Macaca mulatta: one gene and its partners. The main gene of each other region encodes a partner of the protein of the gene in region 2 in a complex. Links are inferred from orthologs where the notes say so. Each region holds a gene or a part of one and is shown on either strand. Other genes may lie near its edges.

The links.
Region 1: the proteins of DDN (region 2) and MAGI2 are in contact, whole or in part, in a crystal structure (PDB 6KKG), measured with the Mus musculus proteins. The link is inferred for Macaca mulatta from reciprocal best matches to the Homo sapiens genes DDN and MAGI2. Residues at the interface, in NP_001013763.1 of Mus musculus: Asp222, Arg223, Pro224, Pro225, Pro226, Tyr227, Val228, Ala229, Pro230, Pro231, Ser232, Tyr233, His237, Arg238, Thr239, Leu240, Gly241; in NP_001164217.1 of Mus musculus: Glu308, Met309, Ala310, Tyr311, Thr312, Glu313, Gly315, Tyr318, Ile320, Asp321, His322, Lys325, Thr326, Thr327, Ser328, Trp329, Asp358, Tyr361, Tyr364, Val366, Asp367, His368, Arg371, Arg372, Thr373, Gln374, Phe375.
Region 3: the proteins of DDN (region 2) and WWC1 are in contact, whole or in part, in a crystal structure (PDB 6J69), measured with the Mus musculus proteins. The link is inferred for Macaca mulatta from reciprocal best matches to the Homo sapiens genes DDN and WWC1. Residues at the interface, in NP_001013763.1 of Mus musculus: Tyr227, Val228, Ala229, Pro230, Pro231, Ser232, Tyr233, His237, Arg238, Thr239; in NP_740749.1 of Mus musculus: Glu13, Glu14, Ala15, Arg16, Asp17, Tyr23, Ile25, Asp26, His27, Arg30, Thr31, Thr32, Ser33, Trp34.

The regions. Positions count from the first base shown.
Region 1 is NC_133408.1:140,030,321-140,041,293, reverse strand, and holds the start of MAGI2 (membrane-associated guanylate kinase, WW and PDZ domain-containing protein 2), read right to left. Parts: upstream 6,452-10,973; 5' UTR 6,298-6,451; coding exon of another isoform or gene 6,202-6,297; 5' UTR 5,962-6,201; coding exon 5,661-5,961; intron 1-5,660. Other genes in the region: uncharacterized protein LOC106997532, read left to right, coding at 6,202-6,297. UniProt on the Homo sapiens protein: Seems to act as a scaffold molecule at synaptic junctions by assembling neurotransmitter receptors and cell adhesion proteins. Plays a role in nerve growth factor (NGF)-induced recruitment of RAPGEF2 to late endosomes and neurite outgrowth.
Region 2 is NC_133416.1:56,157,964-56,168,906, reverse strand, and holds DDN (dendrin), read left to right. Parts: upstream 1-3,655; 5' UTR 3,656-3,698; exon of another isoform or gene 3,699-3,743; coding exon of another isoform or gene 3,744-3,952; intron 3,953-4,077; 5' UTR 4,078-4,152; coding exon 4,153-6,294; 3' UTR 6,295-7,872; downstream 7,873-10,943. UniProt on the Homo sapiens protein: Promotes apoptosis of kidney glomerular podocytes. Podocytes are highly specialized cells essential to the ultrafiltration of blood, resulting in the extraction of urine and the retention of protein.
Region 3 is NC_133411.1:177,310,789-177,320,091, forward strand, and holds the end of WWC1 (protein KIBRA), read left to right. Parts: intron 1-1,541; coding exon 1,542-1,793; intron 1,794-4,625; coding exon 4,626-4,750; intron 4,751-5,722; coding exon 5,723-5,789; 3' UTR 5,790-6,542; downstream 6,543-9,303. UniProt on the Homo sapiens protein: Regulator of the Hippo signaling pathway, also known as the Salvador-Warts-Hippo (SWH) pathway.

The DNA of each region.
Region 1 (10,973 bases), on a different chromosome or scaffold from region 2:
AGGAAATATAACAAATACTAGAGACAGAAGAGAGCTGAGAATAGAATGGAGTAAGTAATAATAAAGTCACAATACTAAGAAAGTTATATGTTTGTTGTCATAATATACAGCCAGATTATCGCTAGGAGAGATTTTTAGAAATTAATATTGAACCCTGGAGCTTCAAGGTAGATGTTTCCATTGAATCATAAAATAGGATTAATTCAACTAAAAATCATGGGGGAGCTAGCAGTGGAAGTATTGTTGGCTTGTAACAGTATTAATACAGAGACTTATTTGACTTATTTATATTGCATTACTTTCATACCAAGTATAGAAATACTATAAAATAGTATTTTAATAGTACTATAGTACTTTAATAGGATTTAAATAGTATTTAATGGTATTTTAACAGTAGCATAAGATACTACAAAATAGTATAGTATAAAATACTATAAAATGCAGTACAAATTGCATTTTTACTTATTTACATTGCAATACTAACAAATGCAAAGTATTCTTTTTGCTGAATTTGATGCATTTCTTCATTATACATTGTTGACTGTGAACACTTATGAATTAACTGTTTTATTATTGTTATCTTTATGAGGTGCTTAATTTCTAGCTGAGAAGTAAAAGTTCAACAGTATGATACTTACTCTCAACTACAATGATGTATTAATATAAGAAGTATAAACTCTTAAACTTAAATTAATAAATTCTAATAGGATTTCTATGTTGTCAAGTTTAGAGTAAATAATTCAATATATTCACCAATTCTTTGGGAGTAAACACATGGGGTATGAAGAAAATAAATTACTATGTAAAAATAAACTATGTCTAAAGTATAAAATAAATACAAAATAGCAGATGTTTACATGGAAAGGCAGGATCAGTGGGAGTTATTTTTAAAAGGTGAAAATATGTTCCATTGTATTTATTGATATTATCCTTCAAATAAATTCTTTTCAAATAAAATATTTATTTCATTATGCATAAAAACCTTAAAATACAACTTGCAAATTACTCTGTATTAGTCAATCATTTCATATTTTTCAGTTAATGTGAATTGAGTAAAATATCTTGAAAATTAAAAACACCTCATAATGTCACTAGCTCAAAATGACCAATATGTTTGCAATAGCATTTACTAAAATCTACATAATGCTTGTCACCTGCCAGACACTATACGATTTAAATACATAACTTATCTAATATTCTTAAGGTACCATTACTACCCCAGGTTAGTTATCTTGTTCATATAGCTAGCACTAACTGACATACTCAGGAATCAAAACTAGGTGGTCTACTTAGGAGAGTGTACCTTTAACCATTGCTCTACCCCACCTTCTGAGGAAAATGATTCTGCCAGGGTCTGCTATATATTTGAAAATCATTACTTAAACTATAATCAATCAGAGATGTCAAGTGTGAATATGCTTTTCTCATTATGAAAGTGAATTTGTGAGTTACAAGCAATGAAAAGGAAAGTGAGCATAATAAACGTGCCAAAAGATTAAACAGTTCAAATGTCAAGAACAGAGATAGTACAGATAAAAAGCAAATAATCATATTTAACATTTGAGGTCATACCATTTAAGTTATCTACACCTACCAAAAAACTACATTGATATCACTTATAAATTATGCTCCAAGAGAACTGTCTCATTAACCTTGTTAAAAACATTAATGGTACTTTATTTGTAAAATAATAAACTCATCAAAATGTTTAAACAATGTTATTGTTTATTAAACAATACTATTCATATATCTCACATTTTTATGGAAAAAAGTCAATCTTTACAGAAAATTTGACATAATTTGTTTTTACCTTTTCAAATACAAAGAAGTATAGAGATTTGACTCTATTATTTTAGCCTGAAGTCAGTCAAGAAGAAAGTATGACTCTTAATAAATGTGGATCTACTTTCCTTTGAAGGTATCTTTGAAAGGAGCAGTAGGAGGGAGAGCAATGTAGATCTTCTCTAAAACTGAATTTCAAAGGATTTATTTGGCCCATCTTCCACATGGGAAGAATTAGAATTTTTTTTTTTTTTTTTTTTTTTTTTTTTTTTTTTTTTTTGCCTTTTATTTCCCATTGTGAGATCCTAAATGGGAAAATAAGTCCAGGTTATGTAGGTCTTTATGCGGTATTACAGGCATTAGCAGCCATAGTGCAAGGAATGTAGGACACAAAGGCCTGTGTAACTGGCTGCTGTGAACTTTAGTGGCAAACCTTAAAAAAGGGAAAAGAAAAAGGAAAGAAGACCTTTAGCACTTCCATATAGATCTCAACATCACTCAAAAAACTTTCTTCAACTGGGTCTGATGCATTAATGAGATCATAGAATTACTGCTAATTTAGCATTACATCCTTTGGTGCAGAAAGTTTATTATTATAAATAAAATGCCATCATTCATAAAAAGTAATTGGGTGTGACAATAAGCCATATTTTAATATGTGGTTTATTACTGTGTGGATTAAAAGCAGAAAGCTTAAATTAAAAAGAGAATTCCTTGAATTTAATTAAACAGTTTTAAAAATTGTTTTGCAGGTATTTAAACAGTGTAGAAACACTATGATATATATATATATACTATGTAATATGTCTTAAAATCCCAACAACTCACCTCCTTTTAAAATTATGACAGATTAAAATTATGATAACTGTAATGTAAAATTAGGCAAACAAGTGAATAAAAATTGAGTAAATAATGCAATTTTACCTGGTGCACTTAGTAACAATATTCTTATTATTCAAATATTATCTTTTCTTTATAAAATCTTCCTTAAACTATGATATGCATGTAGTTTCTGTATAATACCCAATGTTGGAATGAATATTCAAAAATCAATCTCATTAATGTTTTAAAAATGCAACTGCTAAACAAACATGGTTAAGTTTTTCAGCTATGCTAGTTTTTTGCCTCTCTCAAAATATAACTACTGGGCCAAGAATTTCTAAATGATTTTCCAGTAAAAGACATCTGTATTGAAACCTAAGACACACAGGCACTATAGTAAAGCTTCTGAAATTTTCATTTTATAATCATAAATAAAATTAATCTATGATTTAACAAGGAAAAGATTAGAATAGCAATATGAATCATATTTAAAAGAAAGTACAAGAGAATTACTTAGTCCACACAAGGTAAAAGGAACTTTTTTTTGTTTTGTTTTTTGTCAATAGTGATTCAGGAGATGAATCGGGTTCCTATGGGTTTCTGTGAATATCATTATACAAATTTATCATCAATGAACCAGTGAAGCACGAAATAGGGTTAATATAGAATGAAAAGAGAGTTTCTCCTCAATATATCACTTTATAAGCATATATTCTAGTTTTAAAAGCAATAATCTTCCACATAAAATTCAATACAAGAGTGATCACAGACCACATTAGATCGAATTATGGCAGGATTCAAATAATATCGAATCCAGGTCCTCATCTTATATAGGAATCCGTGGCATATGATCATTTCAGCTTCTTCATGGATACCCACAATGATGGGAACTTCATCACAGGGTGCTCACAAATTGTTGGAAAACTCTGTTAGAAAGCTCATGATTTAATCAAAGTAAAGCGGCTTCATCCTTTAAAATTTCTCATAGATTTATCACCATTTTGTCCTGTGGGCTATCACAGGATAGTCAGAATTCCTTTTCTTACCTGATAGCTTTTCGCTATTTAATGATAGCTTTTATTCTCACTTCTCCAAGTTAAGTCCACTGCGTTTCATAGAATACATCTATAATACACAATAATCTTTCTTTCTCTTTTGAATTTACTCTTTGCTAATGTGAGTTTGCCAACATCCTCCTCAACCAGGCGTGCTCAGAATTGAACACAACATTTAAGATGTGGTGATCATTGCAAACTATAATAGGGCATCCCTTTGTAGGACTCTATTAAGTCCAATTTAATAACACTTAACTTTTGCAGCCATGTTCCACGACAAATACCAAGCATTTGGCCAACAAAACGATGCTCATTAGTTGCGTAGTGGACTTTTTGTACCCAAAGATCTTAACATTTATATCTATTCCTATAAGGTATTATTTTCACGTCGAACATGTTAACATGAAGCTTTGTATTTGAACCTTAGGTATCTTATCTTCAAAAATATCAAGATACTCTATTTTCTTTTCTACCAAACTCATATCCCTTCAGTGTTGTATAGTATGGAGCTACGTTGACTTATAATAGCTATCTCAATTAATTAATACTCTTAATACTCAAGAATCCCCAAGAAAAACATTTTCTTGTATGGCAATTTACATTTGAGAAATTTTGTCCAAGACTCCTTTTTCTCTTGTTTACTTTAAAACAAGTTTTTTAGAGAATAATTTTACAGTGCAGTACATCTCCGTAAGAGCGTTTCTTGGTAGTTGATCACGATTAAGTGGCAAAATGCAGGTAATGACATGCTCAATTCCACCTTTGAGTAAGGACAAACAGTGTAACATCGACGACAACAACAACAACAAACCCTTAGGCTGATATGCCTGTGCCACAAATATCCATACATACCGCACATGAATTGTGCAGTGAGGAAAAAAAAAAAAAAAAAAAAAAAAGCTACTACTTTATTCTACTTAAAGTTGTCCTCTATTCAAACTTTTATCTCACTCTTCTCTCCTTCTGCACCATAATTTTCTTTCAAGCAAAGACAGAGAGTTCTGGATGATTCCAGTCTCTCCAAATCTACATCACAGCCTCCAATCGAGGTTCTTTAAAGTCAGGTTGGAGCTGAGGGAGCCTGGGCTGGAACCAGCAAGGGTTTCATCCAGCTCCTCCTCCAAAACACGCCCCCCAAATCGGAGCCAGAGGAGAGCCCAACCACAGAGAACTTCCACTCTATGAGGGCAACCTCTGAGTAAAGTCCTGCCTACAACCATTCATCTCCTCCGACCCCCGCCCAGCACTAGACCGCGCTCCTAGCACCGCGCCTTCTTCCGGAGCCTCCTCCGCTGGGCTGGCTAGGGGTGAGCGCAGGGGTTAGTCAGTGCGCACGTGACGCGCGATGCCCACATGACAAGACCGTGGGCGGGGGAGGGGGACAGCGGAGCGAAGAAGGGGAAAAGTTACAGAAGACCCGTCAAATCGCCCAAAGCAATTTGTCTCTTCCCTTCCTCGCCAGCAGTGGCTCACGGATCCCTAAGGGACAGCTGGGAACCCAGGCGTCTCCAGCCCAGCCCCAGAAACGCTGGACGCAGTTCTCCGCTCACCCCACCACCCTCTCTTCCCAGACCCGCTGGTGATGCCGCTGCACCCTAAAGTTGCTCCTTCCTTCTTTCTCTCCCTTCCTCCCTTTCCTTGTTTCTTTCTTTCCTTCCTTCATTCCCCAAAAGCTCTTCATCCACTTAGGGTGATGCCACTGACGCACATTCAATTTGCCCCAGGATCTCTGAGGAGGTCAGACCAGGCCGAGCACCTTCCAAAGGGGAGGGTCTAACTGAGCAAACAAAGTTGCACGCCACACCGCAACCTGCCCCTCCCCTCCCTTTAGCCCCCAAGTGGAATCCCCGGCGAAACTCATTTGCACTGCGGGTCCCCTCTGGCCCCTACCCCATCATCGCGCAACACACCCCTTTCAACATGCGCGCCCACCCTTTCATTGCCCTGCGCCCCGAGCGGTCCCACCGCCCGGCAAAACACTGAGCAAGCCGCTGCGCTCACCTTGCTTGACACACTTGAGCCGGAGGGGGTCCTTGCAGTGTTTGATCACGGCCAGCACGTCCCTGATGGTGAGCCCCGCCACGGGGGTCTCGTTCACCTCCAGCAGCAGCTCCTCCGACACCAACTTGCTGCCGCTCTCATAGGCCACCTTTCCGGGCTTCACCTCCCCCAGGTAGGGGAACTGTCCATTCTCGGCGCCCCCCTTCAGTTCAAAGCCCAGCTGGCCCTCCGGGTTCCTGCCAATGACACTCTCATGGACTTTGCTAGTCCAGTGGCTTTTCTTTTTCAAGCTTTTGGACATGGCAGTGGGGTGAGTCGCCTCAGTTCCTGGGGCTCCTTGGGGTTAGGGGGGTTGGTGGTGAGAGAATGAGGATGGAGGAGCAAGGGGGCCCAGGGGGAAGAACAGCAGACTTTGCCTTCTCCCCCCTCTATTCGGTGCTTTCCCTCTTCTTTGGATGGAGTGTGGACGAGGAAGGGGGAGGATGAGAGGGACGGCTGGGCAGAGGTAGGAGAGCTTGGGTGAGGTTGTGCTGTCCCTTGAATGACACTCAAGGCTGTGGCCCCGCAGCAGAGGAAGCGGTGGTGGTGGCGTCGGCGGCGGCGGCGGCGGCAGCGGGAGCTAGCAGTAACCGAGCTGGTGAGCGGGTGCGGTGGGGGTGGGGAAGGAGGGTAGGGATGCCGGGGGCCACTCCTGCGTGGTGCGAGTGGGAACGCGCGCGCGCGCCTGGGTGTGTGTTGTTAGCTGATATCCATGGCAGCTGCAGTGGCAGGGTGCGTGTGCGTGTGTGTGTACTAGTTGTACTGTACTGGCATAGGGGAGGAGGCAGGGGAGGAGGGGCGCGCGCGCCGGGTGGGGAGCCAGGGAGGGCTTCGCCGCTGCCTCCCTCCCTCCCTCCGCAGCTTGACCCGGTAGTGAAGGCAGAGAGAGAGGCAGGCTGGGTCCGCCTGGCAGCCTACGGGAGGAGGCGGGAGCCGGGAAGGAGGGGAGCCGAGGCCCGGCGTGGGGAGGCCGGCAGGAAGGGCCTCGAGCCAGTGCGGACCTTTCTTCAGCCTCTGTGCCGCCGAGCCGCGCGCCAGGCTGCTGTGCGAGGAGGACGCGCTGACTTCCTCCGACCTGGGCTCCTATGGAGCAGAACTAGCGGGACCTGGACTTTGGCGCTCCTGGTGCCACATCTTGGGCTCTGCGAGCCTCCTGGCGCGGGATCCTGCCGTGAGAAGGAACTGGGGCGGGGGACCCGGCGGGGCATTGCGGGAGAAGGCCTGGGAGCCCTGGGAGACTTGTGGCCTGGGGGAGTTCACTGTGTAGAGAGGTTTCATGTCTTCCTCTATACAGTCACTTATTTGTCTCAAAGTTCTCGAAATTCCCTCTTAGAGAAGGAGAAAGTTAGAGAACTGGAGGCTGCGTACCCTGATTGCGCAGAGGGGAAGCAGCCTCGCGTTCCCCCGGGCAGGCCCCCTCCCGCGCGTCCCGCCAGTAGGGGAATTTCGCGGAGGGTTGCGGTAGTCTAGTGAAAGGCTATCCAAGGGTAAGGGGCTTCGCTTTTCCCAAGCAGGGGAAACAGAAAGGGTCTACAGGGCTAGGGGTGGAGGTAACGGATGCAATGAGCAGCCTCCGCAGAGAAAATGGACAATTTAACTAGGGACCTGCGGCCGAGAGAAGGCAGAGGCGCTCCCCTGCCCATGAAAGCCACCAGAGTCGGCTTGTACCTGGGGAAGAAACCTTAAGACGATCTGGCCCAACACTCCTTTAGTCACAGAGAAAGGGGAGAAGGCTCCCGAGAGTGAAAATGGCACAGTCGGAGCTGGAACTCAGCTCGCTGACCCCAACCAGTGTTCCCTTCTTTTCGCCAGGTTTGCATCCAGGAGAGGGGAGGATAGGGGCAAAAAAGGATGCAGGGAGGCTGCTGATTTCCACAGGAGAGCTATTTTCTGTGAGACATTAACAGTGATTTTTTTTTTTAATTCCTGTAACTGGTAAATGAATTTCATTTGCTTAACTTTTAAATGATATGTTTCAGACAAAAAAAAAGTTGCACACCCACTTATCTCTTTAAGGCAGAGGATGAAAAGCACTGAACAGGTAGGATTCTTAATGTCTGAGATGAAGGTGATGTCGGAGGCAAACAGTACAGTTAAAAATGTTGAGTCGACACAAACAGAAACACCAGGTTTCAATCCAAACTCTACTGCTTACTGAGAATGTGATCTTGAGTAAACTGACTTTCCTGAGCCTCAGCTTTCTTAGTTGTTAAATGGACTTTAAAAATACTAATCTGTTAAGACTGTGATGAGAATGAAATCAGGGAAAGCAGGCACAGCAGTGCTCTCCTGGCACAGGTGAGTAGGCGTCCGAAATGATAATTCCCTTCCTCTTTCCCTCAGGTATAACTTACTACTTGGGGATGAGGGGGATCAAATGTAGTCAGAACTGGAAGAGATCTTAAAGATGATTTGTTTAACCTTGTGTCTTTTTTCACTTGAGAAAACAGATCCTCCATAAGTTGGCTGCACTAGTGAAGCTTATTCAGTAAGCCAGGGGCAGTGCCAGGATCTGAAGCCAGATCTGCAAGCAATGCCCAGGAGTAGGCAAGACTTGATAGCAAAGCCTAATCTCACCCAGAGAAGTTGAGTGTTAGCATTATGAGGCATAGTTCTAAATAGAAACTCATTATGAGAACCGAATATTTATATTGTAAAACCAAATGGCAAGCTACCATTCATGGAAGATACTAATATTTATTAGGTTCTAACTACATGCTAGATGTTGTTCTATAGGCTTTACACATAATACTTCATTTCTCCTGACATTTTGATAAAGTAGGTACTGTTATCTCCTTTTACAGGTAAGGAAACTGAGGTATACAAGGATGAACTTTTGCAAGGCTACAAATCTAGTTAATGGTGAAGGTAACATTCAGACCCAAGTGGTTCAGCTCTAGACTTTGTCTCAGTTACTGAATTGAACTCTCTGTTCACTTACCATGTGTCATACCAGCTCTCAGTATGTAGTGTCCCAAAAGATTGGGCCTGCACTTTCTTTCAGGGGGCAATTAGGAAAAAAGTAAACAAATGGAGCAGGATTTGGGCATAACAGCATGCTTCTCCCATCCCCCAAATCCCAGAAGTGTCACTGGGGTGTGTGCCAGTTAATTTAGCACTCTTCAACTTCACAGCCACCCTTCTTTGCCCTAAATTGTGACATTAGAGTTGAAATCTGTAAACGTCTTTATGGTCAGTTGGCACAATGTTTAGGTTTGTCAATAGAAGGTGCTAAGGAAACACTGCAGAAAGAAAGGGGCTCCTTTTCTTGGTTCCAGTGCTTTCCTGCTTGCTCCTACGGTGTGGTGGCCAGTGAGTGACTTTCTGACCAGTGGTGTGCAGGAAGGCCATGTTACATAATCTTCAGTAAATTTGGCCAGTTCCCTAGTGTGTGTCTTTCTATGGAGTGCTGCTGGCATGTCAGTGGAATGGCTTCCTAGCAAGTTTTACTGAAAACACAGCTGATGGTTTCCTCAGCAGCCCAGTGTGTGACACCTTAAATTTCTGGATCATTAAGTGGACCACAGCCATATTATTTCCAATGAGGTCCTACTCTCAGGCTTAGTAGGGTGGCGGGTGGGTAGGGGGAAGTTCTTCTTAGTTATTCTCTCTTTGGGTACTCTCCTGTAGCCTGACAGATAGTGACTATTCCCAACAATCACTATTGCTGTGTTCTTTAGTGGGCTTTTTCCCTCTCCTAATAGTTAACACGCTTTGACTGGATCTTGATTGATAAAAGTTGAACCCTGAGGAAAGCACTATCCTTGGAGTCAGAAATTGGGATCAGACTATATTTTTTCTCTCTATTTTGGTATTCCTCACATTCACTTTATTTACCCTTTTTGGATTTTATGCTATGTCAAGAAAAAATTATTTCATCACTAAGCACTCCAAGTGTAGAGCAGAACGCTAAATATTGCATACTATTCCAGAAGAAAAATAGTTTAGGAATCCTAAAAGCCAAAGAAAGAAAGATATGAATGCATTCAGTTCTTAGAAGAGTTCTATGGGATAGATGCTTGTGGCAGACATGGTCTCCACCCAAATCTCCTAGGATCCCTTTGGTTGAACTGAGTATCCTTCCTCTAGCTTCTGCATTCTTTTGCTTCTTGCAGGCTTCCCCGAGACTCTCTTTGGAGGAATGCCCAAACACTACTAGACCCACTTTGTCTACTGACTCAGAGAGCCAGACAAAACCACCTGCAAGTTTACTTCTTTCCCAAGATGCCCTTTGCCAAGGACTTTCCTATAGAGTATAAAAGACCAGCCCTCTTGCCTCTAGTAGCAAGAAAACCTGAGGTGTAATTTACACTCTGAGACTCCCCTGTAGAATTATATTGATGTTAGGATTTTGCCTGAAACCTCCTTCCCTATCTTGCTTACTGTGGTACATGATTAGTTTTTCCCGATAGCATTTCTATAATAAATCACTTGCAGAAACAATCTTCATCTCAGAGTTTGATCCTGGCGATCCTGACTTAAGACATTGCTATTCTTTCTTTGTTTCTTTTTTTTTTTTTTTTTTTTCTTTTACAGATGAGGAAACTGAGGATCAGGGCTTTTAAATTGCCGCAAATCACACTACCAATAGGAGGTAGAGTTGTGGTACCTTTTTTAGAGGGACCATTATTTTGCTGACTACAGTACTGTAGGGCATACAGTGTCTTATCCACACTGTTTCTGAGTCCAGTCTGTCAATATCAGTACTCCACGATTATTGTGTTTGTTTTTCTTTCTCCCTTTTATCTCAAAAATCTCTATTGTGATGCAAGAGACCTTTCTGAAACCTCTCCTTTTTTCTGTGTTTAAAACCGCCCAGTGCCGCCCAATAAATACACAGCAAAGTCCAAACTCCTTATCCTCCTTGGATCCTCCTTCCCACACTTTTTAACTGTTCAGCCATATTTCTGCATGTACTCTGAGACTGGAATCCAGGGCAACAAAGCTAATGTGGGTTCTCCAAGATTAACACAAATGAAAGGAGGCCCCTTTATGCCATCTATTCTAGGTTCCTTGGAATATAATTAAAACAGGAATTTCAACATTGAAATGTAATTATGTTCAGATAAGGACAGTAAGGTACAGTGGCTTGAGCCAATCTCCCACCATGTCTGGGGACTGGGACAGCTGACCCAGGTGTCCTACCTAAGGCTCAGGCCTGTGTCTTCACTTCTCCTTTCAACCCTTTACTTCTTCCAAAGCTGAACGCCTTACTTTCCTTGGCTCACTAGGCCATTTCATGGTTTGTGTTTGCCCGAAATGCAACCCTTTCCC
Region 2 (10,943 bases):
TTCTAGCCCCTGTCTTCTTAGACATAGCCCCCTTTCTGGGTGAACTATAGGCTCTGTGCCTCTCAGACAAATCCTGATCTCTAAGAGATCCCCAGACCTCACTTGCCTCTGCCTCCATCTCAGCCCTGATTCAACCCTAAGATAACAGCACAACAAAATTCTTCATAAAGATATTTTTATTCACCTGTTCCATGCTATATGGAGGAGGCTAAGTCCATTTAGTGACATTTCTTCCCATAATGTGAGTGGGGAGGATTGTGGGGAGGAGGGGCTTTGGGTTCCTGTGTTTGTGCATATGAAGGGAGATGGGGGTTAGGTGGAGGAGGAGGGCAGCGTGATTAGCTAAGGTTATTGCTTTTTGTGGCAAATCTAATTAAATGACAGCTATCTCTTCATGGTATTGCAGTGTTTGATTTTTACAGTTGATGGATACTACTGTCCTACTTTATATGGCTTCTTCAACTGGTCATTAATAATAACGTGTGTACACACACACACACACGTACACACACAAAACTGTGTGCCAGACATCATTCTCAGTGCTTTACATATATTAACTAATCCTCAGAACAATAGTAGACACTATTCCAGTTTTTTACAGATTTTAAAAAATGGAGGCACAGAGAGGCTGGGTAACTAACCCAAGACCACACAGCTAGTAAAAAAAAAAATGGAGCTAGGATTTGAACCCAAACAGTCTTTACTGCTACAGTAGACTTCCGACTTCTAATTCTTTCACAACTACTCCTTACCCTGTGGTTCCTCCTTTCTATCTCACTTTCCCCTCTGCCTGAATCATGGCTGGTACCCAAGGAAAATCCTGTAACAGTGTTAGTGTCTACTCCCAAGAGTAGACAGACTTGAGGGTCTCCTTTGGGCAGAGAATCCTGCCACCATTATCAGCTTTTCTTAAGGAAGGTTGGACTGTTTGGCTTTTGCTGAGTTGGCACTATTTTTTTTTTTTTTTTTTTTTGAGATGGAATCTCGCTCTGTTGCCCAGGTTGGAGTGCAGTGGCGCAGTCTCAGCTCACTGCAACCTCTGCCTCCTAGGTTCAAGCGATTCTCCTGCCTCAGCCTCCTGAGTAGCTGGGATTACAGGCGCGCACCACCACACCTGGCTAATTTTTGTATTTTTTAGTAAAGACAGAGTTTCACCCATATTGGCCAGGCTGGTCGCAAACTCCTGACTTTGTGATCCACCTACCACAGCCTCCCAAAGTGCTGGGATTATAGGCATGAGCCACCGTACCCCGTTGGCACTATCTTTAAACCTGCAAATCCCTTGCCTTTCTTCCAAGGTGAGACAGAGCTGGATGGTGGGAGAACAGCAGGGCACTGGTCACTCCATCAGATCCATTCCCTGTACTGAAACCATGTAGACCCAAACAGCAGTCAGCACCCAACACCAGAACTGCTAGACTGGAGTATGAGCTAAATTTGGGTGCCAGCTAACCCCTGCCTTACAGGTATGATACAGTTTCCTATCCAAACCAGGAGCAATTTCAGAGTCATTGCTTGCCCCTTCCCCCACAGTGCTGCTAACCCCTTCCCTGACAGTGCCTAACCCCTCTGATGACCCTCCAGCCACGGCATACTGGGTTCTCCAAACTAGGCTTCCCGATGGAACACAGGGAAAAGCATCAAGGCCCTCATCAGATTCGACCTGAGGAAGCTTATTTTAAAAAAAGAAGGTGGCCCTCATCAGAGCTCTGCTTTCAGTGTTGCATCATGACTGTAGAGGAGCCCCTGCTTCAGCCTTCACCCCTTTACAGCTCTCACAGCACATTCTCAAACTTGGGGGAGGAAGGCTTCCAAGTTATTAGAATTAGAGTATGTTTATGTGTGGGGAGGGTAAGTACATGGTGGAAAGGACAGATGGCCTCTTATGTCACATTCCCTCATTAAGGAAGATTTGCCTAGGGAGGAGGCAGGGGCTTTAAAAAGCCTCAGGATTCTAGTGGGACCTAGGGTGGAAGGAAGCACCTTCGAGTCAAGTCATCGGTGCAGCTGGCAGGTGTGTGGAATCAAGGGGGGTAGGGTGGATGGGACAGGGAATGTTTGCATTCTCTCTAAAGGTTTGTGTTAGGGAGCAGAGGCCTGGTTTTGTTGAGCTGTTAGTCAGTCAGTCTCTGCCCCACGACAACCTTTCTGGTTGTTCCCCATCCCCTTAAAAGGAAGGGTCTGGACCCAAAGGGCTCCATGTACATTAGTGGAAAACTAATTGGGAACTCTTGCTTCTCTGATTTGCCCCTAAAACCCAACCTATCAGTCTCAGTGTGAGGATGAAGCTGAGGGAGAGACAAGGGATAAAATTTGGGAGACTCACAAGCTTCTATTCTTACCTATTCCTCTCCAGAGGCAAATTATCCCTTCTTCCCGAGGAACCATTGCCACACACACACTCTCTTTCCCCTCTCTGCACCCCTCCCCTCCACTGAGGCTGCTGCCATGGTTGCCAGGCATGGTTGCTAAGTCTCTGCATGGAAGGGTTGGCGTGGGCTGTGCTGCCACTAACATTACCATGGTGAATCAGGGGACACCTGGTATAAGCTTAGGAGGAGGGATCATGTGGATGTAAGCAACAGCCCCCCAGGACAGAGGCAGCCCAAAGGTGAGCATCTGGAGCACCACTTCAGGTGGGGGCTGAGTGAACTAGGCAATTGTTGTGGTGAGGGGGAGCTCTACATTGGGGAAAAAAAAAAAAAAGGCCACTTTTATCATTTCAGTTGCTAGGGGATTAGTTTTGCCAAGCAAACACACCATCTCTCCTCCATCCCCCTCTGGAAGGGTGAGAGTGCATAAGCACTTACTCTGTCCTCCATAAAGCTGGGCAGGCTGTGTGGGCACAGAACAATATAACCCCCAAATCCTGCTTCTAAATTGGAGGTGAAAGCCTGCTGCTGTGGGAGGGCTCCCTGGCTGCCCAAGGACAAACGTAGAATGGGACTGGTAGGGCAGCTTGGGTGGCCAAGGCACACGCCTGTGTCCTGCTGTACCAGCAATCCTAGGCTGCAGCACTGAGCTGGCGAGGAGATACGGGTGTAGGGGTCACCCTTTTTGAGCTTAGGGAAGGCAGCTCTCCCTCAGAGTCGCACAAAGCTTGGTGAAAGCCACCGCCTCCTCTCTCCACCGCATGGGAGCTGGTTACTCATCTCATCTCTGCACCCGAACAGCCACTGCCGCTAAAAATAGCCCCCCAGCCGTGGGCCAGCCCCTCCTGCACCCCAACCCCATGGAAACCAGCAGAGTGGCAGGCAGAGACCTTGAGTTCCATTCTCACGCACTCTATGTTGGGGAAACTGAAATCTGAGGCAGGAAGCCAGGGGCAGAACCCTGGTGGTCAGGCAACCTGACAAGCAGGAGAGTAAAGGGTTAAAACGGCAGGAAGGTTGAAGAAACAGGGACGGGGGAGGGGGCACTGTCAGCTTGGCAAGAATCATAAGTCCCTCCCCCGCCCACTCGTGCGATCCCATCAGGCTTGGGGGACAACAGCAGTGGGAAGGGGCGTCCAATCCCGGGCCCCAGGGGGCGGCCGTGCACATGGGGGAGGTAGCAGCGCGGAGCAGTCCGCGCGGTGTCACATGCGCGCGCACACACAGAGACAGGCACACACACGTGTGCCCGGGTATATATAGTTCCCAGTCCCCGGGCCCGCGGCTCTGCAGTGGGCGCCGGCTCCCTGGGCTGGGAGGGGGCTCCTGGGGCGGGTGGGAGGGTGGGGGGCCGGGGTGGGGTGGGGCAGGATGCTGGATGGCCCACTGTTCTCCGAGGGGCCTGACAGCCCCCGGGAGCTCCAGGATGAGGAGTCTGGCAGCTGCCTCTGGGTGCAGAAGTCCAAGCTATTGGTGATAGAAGTGAAGACTATTTCCTGTCATTATAGTCGCCGCGCCCCTTCTCGACAGCCCATGGACTTCCAGGCCAGCCACTGGGCTCGCGGGTTCCAGAACCGCACGTGAGTGAAGCAGGGGTGAGGGGAAGAGAGTGGTGGGGCGGGGAGTGGGGTCCGGACCACCCCGCAGGCACCAGCGAGCACTACTGATCCCCCTTCTCTTTCCCACGCCTCCCACCCCTGCCCGCTCCCGAAGGCTGGGGCCTGACTCATCCGGTTGTTTGGGGGAACAGGAGTGGGTGTGAGAAAGGGCAGGAGGTGAGATGGGGCAGACGCTGTTAAAGTGTGCAGGCAGAGATGGCGAGGAGTCCCGCTTCGACTTCAGTCCTAACATATACGCACGTGCACACGCGCACACACTCACACACACCCCTTCACATGGCTGCCCCAAGTGGTCTCCACTGCTCCCAGCTCCCCGGACCTCGGCTCCCTTCCCCCACAGACTGCTCACCTGGGTTCCTGCTCATTGTCCCAGGTGTGGGCCGCGCCCGGGATCCCCACAGCCGCCGCCCCGCCGGCCCTGGGCCTCCAGGGTGCTGCAGGAGGCGACCAACTGGCGGGCGGGGCCCCTGGCCGAGGTCCGAGCTCGGGAGCAAGAGAAAAGGAAAGCGGCGTCGCAGGAGCGGGAGGCCAAGGAGACCGAGCGAAAAAGGCGCAAGGCTGGTGGGGCCCGACGAAGCCCCCCGGGTCGGCCCCGCCCGGAGCCCCGCAACGCCCCTCGGGCAGCCCAGCCGGCAGGGCTCCCTGCTACCTTGCGGCCGGAGCGCCTGGCGCTGGTGGGGCGAGCGCCCCGTCCATCCGCGCAGCCGCAGAGCGACCCAGGGTCGGCGTGGGCGGGGCCCTGGGGAGGTCGGCGGCCGGGGCCCCCAAGCTACGAGGCTCACCTGCTGCTGAGAGGTTCTGCCGGGACCGCCCCGCGACGCCGCTGGGACCGGCCGCCACCCTACGTGGCTCCACCTTCTTACGAAGGCCCCCATAGGACCTTGGGGACTAAGAGAGGCCCCGGACACTCCCAGGTGCCCACTTCATCAGCCCCACCTCCGACTCCGGCCAGGACAGAGGGAGGGCGCACAAAGAAGAGGCTGGATCCTCGGATCTACCGGGACGTCCTCGGGGCTTGGGGTCTCCGACAGGGGCAAGGTCTCTTGGGGGGATCCCCAGGCTGTGGAGCGGCCAGAGCAAGGCCAGAGCCCGGCAAGGGGGTCGTGGAGAAAAGCCTGGGGCTGGCTGCTGCTGACTTGAACAGTGGTAGCGACAGCCATCCCCAAGCCAAAGCTACAGGGAGCGCAGGCACCGAGACAACTCCTGCGGGGTCTGCAACTGCGGCTCCCAGTGCCCCGCGTCCCGCTCCCAGATCCAGGCACCACCTCAAGGGCTCGAGGGAAGGGAAAGAAGGAAAAGAACAGATCTGGTTCCCTAAATGCTGGATTCCCTCCCCTAAAAAGCAGCCGCCCCGCCATAGCCAGACACTCCCCAGACCCTGGGCTCCCGGAGGCACCGGATGGAGAGAATCCCTGGGTCTTGCAGAGGGGGCAGGACCGGAGACCCTGGAGGGTTGGAAGGCGACCCGCCGTGCCCACACCTTGCCCCGCAGTTCCCAGGGCCCGTCCCGTGGGGAAGGAGTCTTTGTCATTGACGCCACGTGCGTGGTGATACGATCCCAATATGTTCCAACCCCCCGAACCCAGCAGGTGCAGCTTTTGCCCTCTGGGGTGACACGCGTGGTGGGGGAATCCGCCAGCCAATCGAAGCCCGGCAAGGAGGAGAGTGAAGGGGCCACGGTCTTTCCTTCCCCTTGCCGAAAGCGGCTGTCGAACAGTCGCCTTTTACACCAGCCCGGCGGGGGCCGCGGGGGCGAAGCTGAGGGCGGGAGGTCGGGGCACTCCTCACTGGAGGAGCGCACCTCCCGCATCTTGGGGCTCCCGGCCCCGGAAGTAAACCTGCGGGACGCCCCCACGCAGCCAGGTAGCCCAGAGCACCAAGCCTTAGGCCCAGGAGCTTCGGGAGCCCAGGGCAGGGCCGAGGGCTCGGAAGTGGCGGTGGTCCAGCGGCGCGCGGGCCGGGGCTGGGCGCGGACCCCAGGGCCCTACGCCGGGGCCCTGCGAGAAGCCGTGTCCCGTATCCGCCGCCACACCGCCCCTGACTCGGACACGGACGAAGCTGAGGAGCTTAGCGTCCATAGCGGCTCCTCTGATGGAAGCGACACAGAAGCCCCAGGCGCCTCCTGGCGGAATGAGAGGACCCTGCCCGGGGTTGGAAACAGTTCGCCGGAGGAAGATGGGAAGACAGCGGAACTGAGCGACAGTGTCGGAGAGATCCTAGATGTCATAAGCCAAACCGAGGAGGTCCTCTTCGGGGTGAGGGACATCAGGGGGACTCAACAGGGAAATAGGAAGAGGCAGTGAGAGGCCCCTTCTTGTATTTGAGTCCCCAACACATCCATCCTTGGGTCCACTGGTCCCCATTCTTCCCCAGACTTCCTTTGCTTCTCTTTTCCTTGTATCCTTACCCATACCTATTCCCATCCTTGAAATATAAATGAAAGGAAGGGAAGCATATGCCCATTAATGATTTTGTTTCAGGAGAGGTGAGAATCAGCAGTAGATTTAATTAATGTCTGTTATGTTCAGGACACAAGGGTGAGCTCTTCGCAGCTGATGCACTGGGTGCGGAGCTGAGCAGAGAGGCCTAACAAGGATCAGGCAGGAGGGCAGGGGTGGTGGCAGCTATAGGAGGGCAGTGTAGGGCAGGGCCTCTGAGGAGGAGGGAAAAAGTGAAGGAGAGGCTTTGGACCCGGTGGCAGAGTGACCAGATGACAGAGGGGTTCTTGGCAGAAGAGGAATAGGTCCAGCAACAACCAGCAAAGCAGAAGGAGGGCTCACCTTGGTGTCACAAGTCTTGGATTTCAATCCCAACTCTGCCACTGACTTGCTGGTTGACTGAGGCCTGTCACTTTCCCTCTCCAGGCCTCCTGGTATATAAAACAATGGTATTCTAAGGTCCATCCTTCCATCTCTGACATTTTGAGATCTTTGGAAAGGACTCTATCTCATCCTCCCCTCGACAAGCCAAGAATGAGAGTTGGGAATAAGTGAACAGAGTTTGAGGGTTTCTGGGCGGCCTCCTTGTCACCTGAAGTCATGATCAATTCAGGAGACTGCCCAAGGTTTGCAGAAGAGGTAAGGGAGTGAGGCACTCCTATCCCAGTCTCCCAGGTTTAGGTGAGGGCTCCCCAAAGCAGGGCAAGATAGTGGCCCTGTCACTGACCCTGGCCTGTGGTGGTCTGAGCTGGGGAGGGAAGGACACCAATGAATCAGCTTGGGACCTCTTTAGGCCTTCCCCTTTTCCTCCACCCTAATGCTCCTTAGTGATGCTCTGAGGCGTGGCCACGATTTCCCTCCCAGGTGGTATCGCCCACCTGAAAAAATCCTGAGAATGTCTCCCATCTCGGCCTCTTCCGAAGAAACTGGCCACGCAAGGAAAGAGGCCGGTCCCCAGAAGCCAGTGGGCGTGGGGTGTGATACTCTCTATAGCCACTACAGGGCGCGCGCAGGTCGCGGATCTCCCCAGTTGCTAATTCCGGCTCTGCCACTCAATCCGATCCCTAGTTCCCAAGCGCGGGTCCCCAGCCTTGCAGTCTCCAGCCGTGCTGGGCCGGGAGCAGGCCTCCGGCCTCCCAGACCTCTGGAGCCCGCCGGTCCCATCTTTGTACTCATCCACCCCAGCCGGCTTGGGACTCAGACACCGAAGTCTTTTTTTTTCTCTCCGATCCTTGGACACCTCTGTCTGCCATTTATTAGCCATGTGAACTTGGCCGCATCACTTCACCTCCCTGAGCCTCAGTTTCCTCATCTGTCAAATGGGGGTTTATAAACACCTACCTCGCAGGGTTGTTGTGAGGACTTAATGCGATAATGTATGTAAAGCGCCTTGCACACCGCCTGGCACACAGTAGGCGCTCAATAAATCTAAGCTTCCCTTTATCCAGCCTTGGCATGGTCTTCCTTTCACTGACCTTTTCCCCATGGTGGCCATCCCCCAGGACTCCTCTGCTATGTCCTGCTCTGTGTGAGGGAGAGGGGGCTGCTTTCTTCGTTGGGAGTTCCTGGCCCACCTCTTTTCTCCCCCAGCCAGGACTCTCCCTTCCTTGCCCCCAGCCCACCCCTGTTGGCACTTCCCACTGCCCTGCGCCCTCCCCCGGCCCCCCATTCCGAGCAAGGGCTGAGTCAGCCGGGATAAATTTAGCTGCCGGCTCCGCGGGCCCGGGGGCTTCTCCCAGACTCAGTCGCCGGGTCCTGCCCCGGCCCCCGGCCCACCTCTGCTCCCACTCCAACCCAGACCTGCCAACTCCAACTCCCGCTCAGCGTTCAGGTCCCCAACCCCGCTCTCAAACCACTTATGGTTTTAGTCTCCAATTATCTCAACATCACTCCCGCCTGCAACCAGGGGTACTCTGAGCAGAACTCGGAGTGGCACAGGACCACCTGGGGTGGGGGGTGGCCACCATCTGGCAGGAGCTGGGCCGCTGGCCTTGGTTCAGTGGAGGAAGGTCTCCTCTTTGGGTTTCTGAACCGGAGGGAAGACACTGGTCAGAGCTATCCAGGAAGATTCATCCCAGAGCCTTCCTGGAACCCACACTACCAGGTTTCAAATTAGCTCTTGCTGGAGGAGTGTCACCTTGGGCAGAGATCAAAGGTTACTGAGATCTGCCCTTGAGGTCAGGAATTCCAGACCAGCCTCCAATATGGTGAAACTCCGTCTCTACCAAATATACAAAAATTAGCCAGGTGTGGTGGCACGCACCTGTAATTCTAGCCACTCAGGAGGCTAAGGCACGAGAATCGCTGAATCACTTGAACCTGGGAGGAGGAGGTTGCAATCAGCCAAGATTGGGCCTCTGCACTCCGGCCTGGGCAACACAGCCAGACCACATCTCAAAAAAACAAACAAACAAAGGTTATTGAGATCCGTCTCCCTTTCACCTACAATTCTATCTACTCAAAAAAACAAACAACGGTTATTGAGATCTGTCTTCCTTTCACTTACAATTCTATCTACCTACTACCAATTCTAACTACTGAGCATGTACTGAGCACCTACTGGAAACAAGAAACTGTGCGGGAGTCCAGGATAGGGATGAGTAAGGCCTTTCTGACAATGGGGTGAAGGTGAGCAATGTGTCAAGTATTACAATGAGTCAAACAAGGGAGACTGTATGGATTTTGTGAGATAAGGGAAGGCTCCATGGAGGAGATGACCTCAGCGTTAGAATTTGGTGAAGAGGTATTTCAAGTAGAGGGATCAGCCAAAATAGAGGCATGGATGCAGGTAAGCAGGGTATGTTTAGGAAACTGCTCAATGGTCTGATTTGCCTGCAGCTGCGAGTACATTAATGGCAGTTGTGGAAGATAAGGCAAGAGTGAAAACTGAGGCCAGACTGGGGTAAGCCTGGTCCAGCTGAGGAGTAATGTGCCTTGGGCCTCCAGGCTTGGGAAGAGGCTGGACTTCGGGGGAGGAGGAAAGTTGAGGAAGGGCGGTGTGTGGTGGCTCACACCTGTAATCCCAGCACTTTCGGAGGCTAAGATGAACAGATCACCTGAGACCAGGACCAGCCTGGCCAACATGGTCCAACCCTACCTCTATGAAAAATACAAAAATTAGCTGGGTATAGTAGTGCATGCCTGTGATCCCAGCTATGGGGGAGGTTGAGGCACAAGAATCACTTGAACCTGGGAAGCGAAGGTTGCAGCAAGCCGAGATTGCACCACTGCACTCTAGCCTGGGTGACAGAGTAAGACTCTGTCTTAAAAAACAATAACACACACAAAAAAGAAAAACAACAACAACAACAACAACAAAAACAGAACCAAAAAAAAAAAAAAAAAAAAAGAAAGTTGAGAAAGACCAGGGCAGTGATGAAAGCATCTGCCTAGATTTTTCTACAACCAAAGGGCTCTAGGGCTCTGGGACTGGAAGAGGAGGTGAGCTGTATGCAACCTTGGAAGGGCTGACCCTATGAAGGTGGGCTTTACCATGCTGCCTGAGCCCCTTTGAGGATGAACACACAGGAAGCAAGTTTCTGAAATCTCACCCACACTGCTAACATAGTCGAACGACTTGACTAATGTGTTTAGAATGTGGTTTCTGGAGCTTCTACCCCATACTAGCTATGTGACCTTGGGCAAGTTACTCAACCTCTCTGTGCCTTGGTGTCCTCAGTTATAAACTGAGGTTGTTAAAAGTGCTTTTCATTAGCTGCGTGTGGTGGCACTTTCCTGTAGTCCCAGCTGTTCAGGAGGCTGAGGTGGGAGAATTGCTTGAGCCCAGGGGTTTGAGGATGCAGTGAGCTATGATTGCACCACTGCACTCCAGCCTGGGCAACAGAGCAAGACTCTGTCTCTAAAAATAAATAAATAAATAAATAAGTAAATAAGTAAACAATGTGCTTTTCTCTTAGAGTCGTTGGGAGGAGTAAATAATTCAATATGTAAAACACTTGGAACAGTTGGCCAGGCACAGTAGCTCACCCCTGTAATACCAGCATTTTGGGAGGTTGGGGTGGGAGGATTGCTTGAGCCCAGGAGTTCAAGACCGGCCTGGGCAACATAGCAAGACCTTGTCTCTCTGTTTTTTTTTTTTTTTTTTTTAATTTTTTTTAATTAAAAAGAAAAAACATAAAATAAAAGAAAGAACAATACGTGGTACATAGTAGGTGATTGACTGTTAGCTCTGATTATTATTTCTCTCTAGGGCTATTTTATTAGTGTTGGGGTATGAGAACAGGAGGATGGGACAGAGAGAATTAGAAGTAGGGGAGGATGGCCAGGTACGGTGGCTCATACCTGTAATCCCAGCACTTTGGGAGGCCAAGGCCAGTGATCATGATGTCAGGAGTTTGAGACCAGCCTGGCTAATACGGTGAAACCCCATCTCTACTGAAAATACAAAAATTAACCAGGTGTAGTGGCGCATGCCTGTAGTCCCAGCTACTCGGGAGGCTGAGGTAGGAGAATTGCTTGAACCCAGGAGGCAGAGGGTGCAGTGAGCCGAGGTC
Region 3 (9,303 bases), on a different chromosome or scaffold from region 2:
GAGGCTTGACTAAGGAAACATCTGCATCCAGGCACTGCCTCCAGTTGTTGGCAGAATTTATTGCCTTGTAGTTTCTTGCTAGCTGTCAGCTGGGGGGTTGGGGGAGCATTTTCAGCTCCTAGAGGTCACTCTCAGGTTTTTGCCCTGTGGTCGTCTCTATAACATGCTTTATTTACTTCTTCAAGGCCAGCAGAAGAGCCCGGCCAGGAAAAGCCCAGGCCGTCTTTTAGGGGCTTACCTGATTAAGTCAGGACCACCTGGAATAATCTTCCTTTTGATTAACTCAAAGTCAACTGATTAGTGGGAGTGATAGTTCATATTCACAGGTCGCATTGGAATTGAAGGAGAGGAGATTATACAGGGCATGTATATTAGGAATGGGATTTGAGAAACCATTTTAGAATTCTGACTCCCATAGTCATGAATTACTGTTTTTTAATCATTAGTGATTTGTGATGGGAGGAGAGTTAATGGTCGAATTAATCAGGGTCTTTTACGTATAGATAACTGAAGAAACTAACTCAAATACAGCTTAAAAATGAAAGAGGGAATTGTTGTCTAATTTAATGAAGAAATCCAGGATGTTGAACTACCTTCAGGCATGACTTGATCCAAAGTTTGAAATGATGTCATCAGGCCTCAGCCCCCTTCTCATGGCGTTGCTCCCTCTGTACAGCTTAATTCTCAAACAGGTCACCCCACAAGTAAAGATGATCATGATTAGTCCCAGGTTTATATCTTGAAGGCTTAGCAACATCGGTGTAAAGACACTGCCTCTTTTCCAAGCAGTTCAGCAAAGTGCCAGAATGGAGTATTAATGGCTGGGCTTTCATAACATACTCACCTCTGAACCTGTCACTGAGATTCAGATTGGCCAGGTTCAGGTCACATTCCTATCCCTGATGCCCCACACAAAGCAGGTGGATTGAGTGCAGAGGAGGAGATCGCCAAGGGAAGGTGAGGGCATTGTTACTCTAAGGCTGGGGAAACAAATGCTGGACAAGCAGAAACAATAGGGGCCCATTACAGGAACACAAAATCAAGAAGACATGACTTCTGCCCTTAAGCGGGAACAGACCTGTATTGGGGAAACAACTTCAGAACAGTACAGTGACAGGAATCAATAACTGAGAACGTACATATGGAGGGTGCTGAGAGTACTGAAGCTGGCACAGTGTACAGAGAGGGCGGGTGGGGACTGCAGCCAGCTCCCTGAGGTGGAACTTCAACTTTACCACACATGCCCGCCCTATGGGACTTAACCTCTGCAAGCCTCCTCGGTGCAGATAACCCTCAGGACCTCCTAGGTTTGTGAAAATGAAACGAGGTTATGGAAATGAAGTGCTTAGTACCATTCCTGGGACATAATAAATGCCCAGTAAACATGAGCTGAATGGGAGAATTCACAACAGGCTTCCCAGGGAAGGGGAAGCCCCATTCGAAAGGAGTGGATGCCTACAGGTAAACAAAGAGAGGGTATTTGAGGGTCAGAGGAAGGGGCTGGGTGGGCTCACTGGGCAGAGCTCTAATAACAAGAGAAGCCATCCCCACCCCCACAGCCTTCCTCGGTCAAGTCCCTGCGCTCCGAGCGTCTGATCCGCACCTCGCTGGACCTGGAGTTAGACCTGCAGGCGACAAGAACCTGGCACAGCCAACTGACCCAGGAGATCTCGGTGCTGAAGGAGCTCAAGGAGCAGCTGGAACAAGCTAAGAGCCACGGGGAGAAGGAGCTGCCGCAGTGGTTGCGTGAGGACGAGCGTTTCCGCCTGCTGCTGAGGATGCTGGAGAAGCGGGTGAGTGCAGCCTCGAAGGCAGGGGAGCCCTGCGCTCTGCCCCAAAGAGTCAGGGGCCACTGCCCCAGGGAAGAGAGGCCAGAGCTCATGATGCATCCTACAATTCCCACCACAGCTTCCACTGAGGGTGTTCCACCCATCACTCGTTCCCATCAGCAGAGGGATCCAGGAATCCCTTTGCCTACTCGACGTTATGAACCTTTCACCTGGCTGCAAGGCCCATTTACTGCACTTGTTGATGTGTTTTTGTATGCAAGCCCTTACTGTTCACACATGTACTCATCATGCAGCTCTTCATGAAATACATTGGGGACCCAATCTGTGCCACAGCACACACTTTAACAGAGTAACAATAGGACACTGACCTGCCTCGGTGCCTGCCCAGGAAATCCCACAGGGCAGCCCTTGCCAAAGGAGGAGAAGGGCTGGTCACACCAGGGCCTTCTGCTAACAAGCGTGCCCTGGAGTACAAGTCTGCTGGCACCTCTGCCCTGCTATAATAAGTTTAAGGGATTTAGGGGTTGATCAAGGAGAAAAATATAACCTCAAAATGGTGTTAGCACACAAGTTTTATATTAGCTGTGCTTTTTTTTTTTTTTTTTTTTTTTTGGAAGACATGTTTTCTCTCTGTCGCCCAGGCTGGAGGGTGGTGGCATGATGGCTCACTGCAACCTCTATCTCCCAGGCTCTATCGATCCTCCCACCTTAGCCTCCTGAGTAACTGGGATGACAGGTGCATACCAATATGCCCGGCTAATTTTTGTATTTTCTGTAGAGATGGGGTTTCACCACGTTGCCCAGGCTGGTCTCGAACTCCTGGGCTCAATCAACCCACCTCGGCCTCCCAAAGTGCTGGGATTACAGGCGTGAGCCGGCGTGCCTGGCTTGGGCTACACTTTGACAGGTTTGCATGCCGGGGAAGCCCCTCACAGCATGAGACCTTCCAAAGGTGCTGGGGGCTACTGCCCGGTGTGGAGGAAGGCAAGGGAACTCCCAGGGGAGAGCTGGGGAAGAGGGGCCATCTAGGTTAGGTAGCTCTGCAGGACGATGGGGAGTCTCTGGGTCAGGGAACTCCAAAGCACAGCAGCAGCTCGGGGTCTCTTACAGGCCCAGGCTTTATCTATGGCTAGCAAATGTTGGGTACAATTTCACAGGGTATGCAAAACTGGAAGGTTGTATATTTAAAAGTTGCTTATTTGAGCTATATTTAAAACAACTGGAAGGGTAAAAATTTGAGTGTGGCACTAGCAGGCTTTTAAGGTCCCAACAGGTCCCGCACTGCCATGAAGAAACAATGTAGGGCCAGTATCCAAGGGCCATTCTCTACCCCTTTATGAAAAATAACACCTGCCACTCTGTGATCACCACCCACGGCAAGAAAGACCTTTGCTAGTTCTCTCTGCACACAGCCAGACTCGCTGAGAGTACCTTACAGAGGGTGCCTACCTGAACCGTCAGGACCATCAGCTGAAATCTCAGTGCTCAGGGCAGGTGGTGATGCCCTACGGCAGGAAGATGATGCTGGACTTCTTAGGCCTGGACTGATGTGGGAGCTTCAGACTGACTCTGGCAGCTCTGAAGTTCCAGAAAAGTTTATTTCTTTCTTATTTATACCCTGTTTACTTATAAACAGGATTATAACAAGAGCATTGAGGGGAAAATAGAAAATTGGAAGGCTTGATGGAGGAGAGGAAATAAATATATCCCAAACCTAAAGTAACCTAATAATAGTTAGTTATTATATTGATCTTTGAGCTTCCTGGTAGCCAAGGCAAAAAGAGATCAGAAAACAAGTGCCTATGTGCCCTACCTTAACACTTGATCTTAGTCAAAAGACTGAGAAGTAATACGTGCCCTGACTTAAGAAAAACAAACTGAGAAAACTTGACCTTTCAAATAGTTAAAAAAAAAAAAAAAAGGTAACATCTATGACTTCTAACAAAGAACCATTGAAATGATGGCTTTATTTACCAAAATTCTGTCTTTGTGCAATGTTTTCAAGTATATGGTACATGGCTATTTTAGGGCTGTCTGTGGTTTGTTCTCAAAAGTGTTTGTATACATTTACATTAGGAGGAAGGGACATAGTGTTATACCCAAGCCTCTTAAGAACTACTGCATGGCTTGGGACTGGGTTTCTACCACTTCTTAGTAGTCTGACATTAAAGAAATTTCTTTTTTTTTTTTTTTTTTTTTTGAGACGGATTCTGGCTCTGTCGTCCAGGCTGGAGTGCAGTGGCCGGATCTCAGCTCACTGCAACCTCCGCCTCCCGGGTTTACGCCATTCTCCTGCCTCAGCCTCCCCAGTAGCTGGGACTACAGGCGCCCGCCACCTCACCCGGCTAGTTTTTGTATTTTTAGTAGAGACGGGGTTTCACCGTGTTAGCCAGGATGGTCTCGATCTCCTGACCTCGTGATTCGCCCGTCTCGGCCTCCCAAAGTGCTGGGATTACAGGCTTGAGCCACCGCGCCCGGCCTAAAGAAATTTCTTACTATGCTGGAGCCTCAGTTCCCTGGGTAAAATAGAGGTAATAATGTCTACCTTCCTGAGTGGCCTGAGGATTAGAGGTAGTACACATTTCACCAGGCAGCCCTCATCTCCTCAATTCCTCAGATCCACACAGGTATTCTGTTTCCTGGCCCCAAAAATCTACTCACTCAAACAGATGATTTGAGCACTTCCCATTATGGTTCTGAAAGAAGTGGATCCCACGGGGAGCAGGAGTGAGGGTGCCATCCCTACAGGAGCCCCCTCTATTGTGATAGGGAGTTCTCCTTGCCCCTTTCTGGAGGACCCCTCCACTGACTCAGGGCCCTGCTTGCTTTGCCCAGCAGATGGACCAAGCAGAGCACAAGGGTGAGCTTCAGACAGACAAGATGATGAGGGCAGCTGCCAAGGATGTGCACAGGCTCCGAGGCCAGAGCTGTAAGGAGCCCCCAGAAGTGCAGTCTTTCAGGTAAGCAGAGGGCCCCGACAGCCCCCTCTCCCTTTCTCAGCCAACCCATGGCCTTAGTCTTCTGTCTGTGGTCTTACTGCTCCCATCCCTTGCTCACAGAGCACTGGCTTTCTCTGTAACAGATGTTCATCCTCCGCCAAGCCATCCCTGGCGATCCATGAGCTCTGCAGCACTCTTCCCCCAGCTGTCTTTATCAGTCCCCACACAACTCGAGCTAATTTGTTAGATCCTCTTGTTTAATGAATAAGCCACCTGCTCCAGCCTTTCCTCGTAGTGTTTTCATCACTGGTAATTGTGGAGGGTTGGCTGAATGATAAATAAGCCTGTGGGTGATGGATGCTCGCTGGGCCTCCCTGGCTCTGCCTGCCACCTGCTAGGATCCCAGGGAGGTGCTTTCTTGCCATGCTGGACCCGGATGTATTCTCAGAGGGTCCCAAATGCCATTTGGCCTGGGCCTCCCATCCACGGAGGCCCTAGCATTTAGACTTCTGATGTCCTCTCAGATAAGGTACACATGTTGTGTATGTGCTAAAAAAAAATTCCTTTGTGGAATATAAACATTTAAAATGTACATTTGTACAACTATCTTTGGGCATCTCTTAACTTTTGAACAAATTGAGAATCTAAAACAAACAAACATTGGAAGTGGCCAAACTCTGAAAAGCCTCTGATTTGATTTGAACTAAAGGTCATTGTTCATGCTAATGGTCTTTAAAGCAGTGGTTCTCAACCAGGCGTGATTTCTCCCCTTGCCCCTGGAACATTTGGCAATGAGCATGCATTTTGGGTTGTCGTAACTGGAGGTCAAGGATACGGCCAGCGTCTAGAGGGTAGAGGCCAAGGATGTTGCTAAACATTCTACAGTGAATGTATAGGACAGCCCCCATGACAAAGAATTATCCTGCCCAGAATCTCAGCAGAGTAAGGTTGAAAACCCCTGCTCCTGCTCTAAAGGGATGGTCTCTCTTATAGGGAGAAGATGGCATTTTTCACCCGGCCTCGGATGAATATCCCAGCTCTCTCTGCAGATGATGTCTAATCGCCAGAAAAGTATTTCTTTTGTTCCACTGACCAGGCTGTGAACATTGACTGTGGCTAAAGTTATTTATGTGGTGTTATATGAAGGTACTGAGTCACAAGTCCTCTAGTGCTCTTGTTGGTTTGAAGATGAACTGATTTTTTAGTTTGGGTCCTACTGTTGTTATTAAAAACAGAACAAAAACAAAACACACACACACAAAAAAAAACAGAAACAAAAAAAAAAACCAGCATTAAAATAATAAGATTGTATAGTTTGTATATTTAGGAGTGTATTTTTGGGAAAGAAAATTTAAATGAACTAAAGCAGTATTGAGTTGCTGCTCTTCTTAAAATCGTTTAGATTTTTTTCAGTTTGTACAGCTCCACCTTTTAGAGGTCTTACTGCAATAAGAAGTAATGCCTGGGGGACGGTAATCCTAATAGGACGTCCCGCACTTGTCACAGTACAGCTAACTTTTCCTAGTTAACATATTTTGTACAATATTAAAAAAATGCACAGAATCCATTGTTGGGGGGAGGGATTCAGAGGTGCATCCATGGATCTTCTTGAGCTGTGACGTGTTTTTATGTGGCTGCCCAACGTGGAGCGGGCGGTGTGATAGACTGGGCGGGCTAAGCAGCCCAGTCTATGTGGGTAACAGGCCACGCTGGTCTCAGATGCCCAGTGAAGCCACTAACATGAGTGAGGGGAGGGCTGTGGGGAGCTCCATTAAGTTTTATCTCCATCAATAAAGTGGCCTTTCAAAAAGAATCTTCCTCTTGCTCTCTTTTTCTTTCCTACCCCTCACTTCATCTGTTTCCCTGATTTTTGAGTCTCCCCTTTCCAGTCATTTCTTTCCCACCCATCCTGAGTCCTGGAAACGTTTATTTTTTTCTTTTGCCCACTGTTTTCATTTGCTCATTAAATTAAAATGACGGCTCGGCTCATTGGGAATCCACATGCCCAAGTTAGATTGGGGATATGCTCTCTGTACTGTCTCCTTCTATGGAATTCCACCCCACCCAATGAGAGCTGACTTCACCATTTCTTCATATGAGCATCATTCTGTGTCATCCCCAACCCAGGGGTAGTAGATGCTACAGCTTGTGCTTCATGCTGCTCCTGTGGCCCCTATCCCTACCAGGGTCTATTGCAGACAATCAGAAGTCAGCTTCTAACAAATAGCAACAACCACAAATCTCTTCCTCCTTTCTCTCTGACATTACCCTGTGCAACTTTTCTCAAAGTCTGTTGCACCACCCAGCAAAGCATGTTGCACCAGCTGTATCAGAATCACCTGGGGCAGCCTATTAAATATACGGACTATTGAGACCATCCTGGCTAACACAGTGAGACCCTGTCTCTACTAAAAATACAAAAAATTAGCTGGGCGTGGTAGTGGGCACCTGTAGGCCCAGCTCCTCGGGAGGCTGAGGCAGAATGACGTGAACCCCGGAGGTGGAGCTTGCAGTGAGCCAACATTGCGCCACTGCACTCCAGCCTGGGCGACAGAGCGAGACTCTCAAAAATAAAAAAGAAAAAAAAGGGCGTGCCCAAGATGGCCGAATAGGAACAGCTCCAGGCTCCAGCTCCCAGTGTGAGCGACACAGAAGACGGGTGATTTCTGCATTTTCAACTGAGATACTGGGTTCATCTCACTGGGGCGTGTCGGACAGTTGACGCTGGTCCGTGGGTGCAGCCCGACCAGCAAGAGCAGAAGCAGGGCAAGGCATTGCCTCACCTGGGAAGCTCAAGAGGGAAGGGAATTCCTTTTCCTAGCCAAAGGAAATTGAGACACACAACACCTGGAAAATTGGGTAACTCCCACCCTAATACTGCGCTTTGCCAAGGGTAGCAAATGGCACACCAAGAGATTATATCCCACACCTGGCCCAGAGGGTCCCATGCCCACGGAGCCTCCCTCATTGCTAGCACAGCAGTCTGAGATCTAACTGCAAGGTGGCAGCGAGGCTGGGGGAGGGGCATCTGCCATTGCTGAGGCTTAAGTAGGTAAACAAAGCCGCTGGGAAGCTTGAATTGGGTGCAGGCCACCACAGCTCAAGGAGGCCAGTCTGCCACTGTAGACTCCTCCTCTGGGGACAGGGCATAGCTAAACAAAAAGCAGCAGAAACCTCAGCAGAGGTAAATGCCCCTGTCTGACAGCTTTGAAGAGAGCAGTGGATCTCCTAGCACAGAGGTTGAGATCTGAGAACGGACAGACTGCCTGCTCAAGTGGGTCCCTGACCCCTGAGTAGCCTAACTTGGGAGACATCCCCCACTAGGTGCAGACCGACACCTCACACCTCACACAGTGGGGTACACCCACAGCAACACTCGCTGTTCAGCAATATTCTATCTTCTGCAGCCTCCGCTGCTGATACCCAGGAAAACAGCGTCTGGAGTGGACCTTAAGCAAACTCCAACAGACCTACAGCTGAGGGTCTTGACTGTTAGATGGAAAACTAACAAACAGAAAGGACACCCACACCAAAACCCCATCAGTACGTCCCCATCATCAAAGACCAAAGGCAGAGAAAACCACAAAGATGGGGAAAAAGAATGCAGAAAAGCTGGAAATTCAAAAAATCAGAGTGCATCTCCCCCTCCAAAGGAACACAGCTCATCACCAGCAACGGAACAAAGCTGGACAGAGAATGACTTTGACGAGTTGAGAGAAGAAGGCTTCGATCAATCAAACTTCTCAGAGCTAAAGGAGGAACTACGTAACCAGCGCAAAGAAACTAAAAACCTTGAAAAAAGAATGGATGAATGGATAACTAGAATAATCAATGCAGAGAAGACCTTAAAAGAACTGATAGAGACGAGGCCGGGCGCGGTGGCTCAAGCCTGTAATCCCAGCACTCTGGGAGGCCGAGACGGGCGGATCATGAGGTCAGGAGATCGAGACCATCCTGGCTAACACGGTGAAACCCCGTCTCTACTAAAAAGTACAAAAAAAAACTAGCCGGGCGAGGTGGCGGGCGCCTGTAGTCCCAGCTACTCGGGAGGCTGAGGCAGGAGAATGGCGTAAACCCAGGAGGCAGAGCTTGCAGTGAGCTGAGATCCGGCCACTGCACTCCAGCCTGGGCGACAGAGCGAGACTCTGTCTCAAAAAAAAAAAAAAAAGAACTGATAGAGATGAAAACCATAACACAAGAACTACATGACAAATGCACAAGCTTCAGTAACTGACTCGATCAACTAGAAGAAAGAGTATCAGCGATTGAAGATCAAATGAATGAAATGAAGCAAGAAGAGAAGTGTAGAGAAAAAAGCGTAAAAAGAAATGAACAAAGCCTCCAAGAAATATGGGATTATGTGAAAAGACCAAATCTACGTTTGATTGGTGTGCCTGAAAGTGACGGGGAAAATGGAACCAAGTTGGAAAACACTCTGCAGGATATCATCCAGGAGAACTCCCCCAACCTAGTAAGGCAGGCCAACATTCAAATTCAGGAAATACAGAGAACGCCACAAAGATACTCCTCGAGAAGAGCAACTCCAAGACACATAATTGTCAGATTCACCAAAG